2 separate regions of the Mus musculus genome follow, and region 1 is reported to be linked to region 2. Evidence: microRNA targets listed by miRTarBase, many of them from high-throughput screens and not tested one by one. Region 2 holds a microRNA gene; the other region holds the end of a gene's coding sequence.
What was found. Region 2 holds the annotated microRNA mmu-miR-6997-3p (UCAAACCUUACCCUCCUGUUUCC, at 1,782-1,804, opposite strand). A microRNA usually pairs through its seed, bases 2 to 8, with sites in the 3' UTR of a target mRNA and lowers its output. Matches are read on the target gene's strand: a 7mer-m8 pairs with bases 2 to 8, a 7mer-A1 pairs with bases 2 to 7 and ends in A, and an 8mer does both.

Region 1: miRTarBase lists Rad51c as a target of mmu-miR-6997-3p. Seed matches in the 3' UTR shown: 7mer-m8 at 1,835-1,841 and 7mer-A1 at 2,173-2,179.

Annotation. Positions count from the first base shown.
Region 1 is chr11:87,376,375-87,379,780 of GRCm38, reverse strand. Rad51c (RAD51 paralog C) reads left to right here. Exons shown (of 9, transcript NM_053269.4): 9 at 294-3,136. The coding sequence ends at 395. Among named protein-coding and RNA genes, the nearest start is that of Ppm1e, 19 kb to the right of the region's middle.
Region 2 is chr2:29,994,394-29,997,799 of GRCm38, reverse strand. It overlaps Mir6997 (microRNA 6997), which reads right to left and starts at 1,850; the gene lies at 1,780-1,850. It overlaps Sptan1 (spectrin alpha, non-erythrocytic 1), which reads right to left. Exons shown (of 57, transcript NM_001177667.1): 16 at 2,223-2,404; 17 at 1,536-1,779; 18 at 1,254-1,376; 19 at 846-1,063.

The sequences.
Region 1 (3,406 bases), not on the chromosome of region 2:
TTGTTAACTTGGACATCACCACTCATCTACGTACAGGTCAGGTCTTAGAAAGCATCCTTATGCAGTGTTATTTTTTTTTAATGTGTGTATAGAAGAGCATATATAAAATGCTCTAATAAAACTCTGGGTTAGACCACCTGCAAAGTTTATCCTCTTTATTCAATGATTAATAAATTCTCTCCCAAGAATAACATAGCTTATTTAAAGACTATTTGGAAAATTAATCTTTTTAAATTGTCTTTTATGTGTGTGTGTATATATATATTTTATGTGTGTATTTCTCTACCTTGCAGCCTCAGGGATTTAGAGACGCTGTTGTCACTGCTGCCTCATCACAGACAGAGAGTTCTTTGAATTTCCGGAAACGGTCACGAGAACCAGAGGAAGAATGCTGACCAAATGCTGATGCCAGTGTATCCAGTTAACTGATGATGTGCTAGTCAGAGTGTAGTGTGTGTGTGTGTGTGTGTGCACTGTGTGTGTGTGTGCACTGTGTGTGTGTGTGTGCACTGTGTGTGTGCGGGTGCCTACAAAAGCAAGCGGAGGGTGGTGGATCTCGTGGAACTGGAGTTAGAAGTAACTGAACCACCATGAAGGTGCTGAGAACCAGAACCTAGTCCTGCAAGAACCAAAAATGTTCCCAACTGCTGAGCCATCCATCTCTCCAGCTCCTCCACCCTGTCTCTGAGGCAGGGTCTTCTGTTTTGTCTCTTCATTCTCCAGGTCTGCACACTTTAACTACTTCTGTTTTGGCCTCCTGTCTCACTAGGAACCCTGGGATGCAGGTGTGTAGCACACTGTGGGCTCTGAGAATTGAACTCAGGTCGTCAGGCTTGCAGAGCAAGGGCTTTTACCCACTGAACATCTTTCTAGGCCCTCCTTAAATTTTAAGAAAAAAATCTCTCCCTGAACGTGGAGCTCACTGCTTCAGGGCCACCTATCTACCCCAGCAGCACCAAGATGCACACATGTGCTGCACTGCACCAGCTTTTATTATATGCCGTCCTCATGCCTGCATGTCAGGCACTTTACCCATGGAGCTGTTTCCCTAGCTCCTGAAAAGATTTTCTGAAGCACTGTTCTATAATTATATTTTAATGTGTTTTTATTTTGAGTAATGTGGAAAGCTGACCTTATGTTACCTATCTGGATTTACCACCCAGAGTGGAAAATTTCTTTGTCAATTGCCTAAAAAATAATAGAAATAAAACACTATAATATGTTTGAAGTGTGTGTATATGTATCTGTGTGTTTGCCAACTGTGTGGAGGCCTTCAAAGCATGGAAGAGGGCATCATGTCCCCTAGAACTGGAGTTATATGTGGTTGGCTGCCAGATATGGGATCTTAAGTAATTTCTGAGTCATGTCTCTGTCCCTCCATATTCTTAAATGTAGCTTTGGGGGCCTAGAGAGAGGACGCAGGAGTTAAGAGCACTTGTTGCTCTTTTAGAAGACCTGGATCAGTTATCAGCACCAAGTAACTCCAGTTCCAGGGGATCTGACCCCCCCCCTCCTCAGCCCTCCACGGACACTAAGCATGTATATAGTATACATACATACTTGTAGGCAGAACACTCAAACAAATACGAAATAAAATTAAAAATAAACAAATGTAGCTTTGAAAGCAATTAACATATCACTGTTTAGTTAGTTGAGTTGGTTTGGTTTGCTGACTCCTGGTCTGTGTGTCCTCCTTGCTGCTGGGTTGCCCAGAGCACCTCCTGCAAGCCATTGTTGGAGGCAGCACACAGTCTGTAATAGGGGTTGAAGGTCTGTGCCTCCCCTCCAAGTCTTTGTGCCTGGGGACAGCTAAGCCCTAGAGAGAGGCAGAGCCAGGTTTGGCTCCAAGTCAGGGCCAAGAGTATGTATGGGAGAGGCTGGAAGAGAAGGCCTTCTCTGAGAGATTTAGGTCTGAAGCCCCTCCCCACCCTGGAATCCTTGATGAAGAAATAGATGGTCCTTTCTTTGATGGTGGATGTGAATGCATACACCTTACTCAAGGTGAACCAGGGATTAAATACCTTTTGCAGGAAGAAATGCCCAGGAAGGGGAAGCTCATTGGCTGAACACTCAGGGCCTGTGTAGCTACTTCATTAGCATGGAGAACTCCAGGTTCTTATGCTGTGTGACTGATGGGTGTTATGATTACGTGTTCCAGAACAGATTCCCTGGGGTTTGAACGTGTGTGTGTGTGTGTGTGTGTGTGTGTGTGTGTGTGTGTGTGTGTGTGTGTGTGTGTGTGGTGGTGGTGGTGTTTTGAATAGATTTGGCCTACACAGACTCATATATTTGAATGCTTGGCCTTTGGGGAGTGGCACTATTAGGTGTAACGTTGGAATAGTGTGGCCTTTGTAGGAGGTAATGTGTCACTGTGGGGGCAGATTTTTAGGTCTCCAATGCTCAAGTCATGCCCAGTGTGACATACAATCTCCTGCTGTCTGTGGATCAAACTATAGAACTCTCAGCTCCTCTAGTACCATGTCTGTCTGCATGCCGCCATGCTTTCCACCATGATGATAATGGACCTTTGGCAGCCCCAAATTAATTTTTTTTTTCCTTTAAAAAAGTTGCTATGGTCATGTTGTCTCTTTATAGCAATAAAACCCAAACTAAGACTCTGTGTGTGTATACATCTTTCTATTTAGCCCTGGCTGGCCTGGAATTCACTATGTAGATCTCTTGTCAAACAAAAGAGATCTACCTGTCTGCCTCTAGGCTTAAAGGAGTACAGTCCATTCCTATAGTTAATTTTGTGGATGGTTTACAAATTTGAGCTGATGAAATTAGTTTTAGTGACCTCAGTCTATTTGTTTAATTTTTGTTATTTGTCATTTTAAAGGGAAAATTTCAAAGCTATGTGTAGCCATTGAAATATGTCCTCTAGAATAGTTAGATTATGGTAAACTTTGTTTGTTTTGGGGTTTTTTTTGTTTTTGTTTTTGTTTTTGAGACAGGGTTTCTCTGTATAGCCCTGGCTGTCCTGGAACTCACTTTGTAGACCAGGCTGGCCTCGAACTCAGAAATCCACCTGCCTCTGCCTCCCGAGTGCTATGGTAAACTTTAAATGTAGATTATTATTTATATCTACGTTTTTGAAGTGCAGTGTGAATAAATAAAAATTCTGGACTTTTAAAAATCATTTTTATGAACATTGGTGTGTTGCCTGCATGCATATCTGAGTGAGGGTGTCAGATCCCCTGGAGCTAGAATTACAGACATCATTTAAAAGGACTAGAGAGATGTCTCAGTGGTTAAGAGCACCTACTGTTCTTCCCAAGGACCTGAGTTCCCAGCATCTATGTCAGCAGCTCATTTCCTCTCCAGGGGCTCAAATACCCTCTTTTAGCCTTCTTGAGAACCTGTGCACATATGGCATGCACTCACCCAGATACATATACAGAAATGA
Region 2 (3,406 bases):
CAGCTACTGATCACTTACAGCATTTTATCTAGAGGGGTAAGGACCTTGTCAAGTTTTCTCCATGCATGTTGGCCTACAGTTACTTCTTTGTGTGTGTGCATACACCATGGAAAAGCATGGAGGTCAGAGGACAATTTGCAGACATATGGGTCTGGGTATTAAACTGAGGTCAAGAGGCTTGGCCCAAGTGCCCTTGCCCACTTAGCCATCTTACCATCCCAATTCTTCCTGCTTTCTAATTTCAGAGAAGAAATACTGCCTAGTTACAATCTCCTCTTTACCATTTTTACCTAATTACAATGTATCTGAATAACATAGACACACACAGAGCAGACTCAGTGTACTTGAGAATGCCTTTTTATAGGGCTACTTTGTCACTGCTTACTAACAGGACCTCCAGTGTTTTTGGTTCTCCCATTCTTGGGGAAAATCCTGTTCATGTGAAGGCTCAACTCACCTAGGGAGGTTTTTGGTACTGGGAATGGAATCCACAACTGTATACAAGCAACTAGTGCTTTACCACTGAGCAGAGACCCTAGCTCTCATTCTGGTTTTGACAAGATTGTTAAGAAGTAGGTCTGACGACTACATGAACCAGATATGAGTCACATGTCTGCATGCATGTGACTAAGAATAATGAGACAACAGCAAATGTTAACAGTTGAAAGTAGGTGACAGGCTCTTCTTGATTCTGAACTTCCAAAATAAAAAGTAAGATTGCTGACACTTTACAAAGCAGCTGCAGTATACTTTATCCTTTCTGCAATACCTTCTCCACTACCTTGCTTCCTACTCTGAGGCTGGGGCCAATTCCCAAGTCCATGTGATGCCCAGGTTTGAGCTACCTCAGCAGAGTCTTCATCCTTCCCATAGTCCGTACTGCCCACAATGGGCTCCTTCTCCCGCATCCAGGACTCAGCCTCATTGGCATCGGCAAAGTACTGCTGGGCCTGCAGCGAGTCCTCTAGATCCTGCCTCCGCTGGGAGGCTTTGGCTTTCAGAGCCTCCCACTTCTGGTTGAGCTCACTCAGTTTGGCCTTCACATCCTCTGCAGCAAAATGGCCTGGAAGGATGATGTGGAGAACAGTGACAGTGACACTCAGGTGAGGCCAGGCCAGAGTCATATGACAGCACAAGAAGGAGACTCAGCCCTGGCCTCATTAACGGGGCTCAGGTCCATGCACTCTATGCCAACAGGGGACAGAGTAAAGACATAAAGAGTAAAAGCAGGTCCAGTCACTGACCACACTCACCTTCCTCCACCATGGCATTTCCCTTTTGTGTCACTGCTTTGATTCGAGGTTCATGCCCAGCAATCTCTGCTTGCAAAGCTTGGTGTTTCTTTAGCAGATTCTGGACTCCAATAAGATCTTTGCCTAAAAGCAGAATCCATTCTCCCATTGAACTGTCAGTAATGGGCTCCCACCACTGCCACAGTATAGGGATCTAAACTTCCACTTCACTTCCTCAGATACATCTCCTTTATGTATAGGATGTGGTAATGGCATGGATCTGCTTGGGGCAGATACACTAACCTCTGTTAGTGGATGCAGCAATAGGCTCCTTTTCTCGAATCCAGGTTTCTTCGTCCTCCACATCCCGGAAGAGCTGCTGCAGACGAAGAGAATCTGCCAGCTTCTGTTTCCGGGCCACCATGGGTTCCTTAAGAGCCTCATAGCGAGCCACAAGGGCCTCTTGCTTCTTCTTAATATTTTCGGCATCAAAATGGCCAGCATCTTGGAACTGGCGGGCCTGAATTGTGATGCCATCAATTCGATCCTGGAAACAGGAGGGTAAGGTTTGAGAGACTCCAGAGACTCTGTTCTGCACCTCTCCAGCCTGTTACTTGGGGATGAGGATTCCTCAAACACAAAGAAAATGTAACAGTGGGAGTCCTACTCTCAGAATATTTGTCCTGCTAGGGCCCCCTCACTTTAGGCTCCCAGAGAGCTCTGAGAAAAAACACTGAGCACAGCGCTCTGTAAGAGAGCCTCATAGTTCATCTTCCCCCAATAGTATCCCCTTGGAAAGTTCAACATGCATATTTCTCCCACACAGCACTGCCCTGCCCCTCCCTAGGTCCCCACTTCCCACACAGCACTGCCCTGGCCCCTCTCTAGGCCCCCATTCCCACACAGCACTGCCCTGCCCCTCCCTAGGCCCCCATTCCCACACAGCACTGCCCTGCCCCTCTCTAGGTCCCCATTCCCACACAGCACTACCTGGTGAGCAGCAACATCCGCCTCTAGCAGAGCATGCTTCTTCTGGAGGTTCTGGACATTAGTGAGGTCTTTACCATAATCATCTGAAGCCAAATGACCTTCTACTTCATACAGCCACAATTCAATGTCTTCAACATTTCGATTAAATTGTTGCTGCTGGTTGGCTTCTCGGAGCTTTATTCCTGTTCAGTAAAGTGTAACCACATTTCTGTTGGGATAGCCCTGACCACGAGCCACGGTACCCCAGTGAAAGATTGCGGTCAGAGCTTAAGTCAGTGTCCAGTTTTGCTAACCAGTGAAGGAAAACCTCTAGAATACCCTCTGCTCTACATTCTACAGACTGAAATGAAGGCTGTTTGGTAAGCATCTATACTTCCATGAGATACATCTCTGGCTCACAGTTAAACTGTGATTTTTTTGTTTGTTTTTCCAAACAGTGTTTCTCTGGCTCTTCTGGAACTCACTCTATAGACCTTGGAAATCAGAGGTCTGCCTGCCTTTGCCTCCTGAGCACTGGGATCAAAGGCGTGCGACACCACTGCCCAGCTGCCAAACTGTGATTTTAGGTAGGAAGGCTCTGAGTGTCTACCCAAGCACTGCTTTTAATCATACTTTCCAAATGATCAAACTACTAAGAACCCAAGCCAAGTAACCCTCATAAAACAGTAACTCTTTTTGGTTTTTTTTTTGAGGACCAGCCTCTTTTTTTTTTTTTTTTAAGATTTACTTATTTATTTCATGTATGTGAGTATACTGTTGCTATCTTCCCAGAAGACAACATCAGATGCCCATTACAAATGGTTATGAGCCACCATGTGGTTGCTGGGTACTGAACTCAGGACCTCTGGAAGAGCAGTCAGTGCTCTTAGCCGCTAAGCCATCGCTCCAGCTCCAAGCAATAACTTTTCTTTTTTTTTTTTTTTCCCCGAGACAGGGTTTCTCTGTGTAGCCCTGGCTGTCCTGGAACTCACTCTGTAGACCAGGCTGGCCTCGAACTCAGAAATCCACCTGTCTATGCCTCTGTCTCCCGAGTGCTGGGATTAAAGGCATGGGCCACCATCGTCTGGCTCAAGCAATAACTCTTAACAACAAAGTTATCACCCTACCTTTCCTGGGTTGTGTGTGGTCCTACCATGCTAAGCCAGAGAGGAGTGTTTAGTTTCCCAAACATTCCTATCACCAAC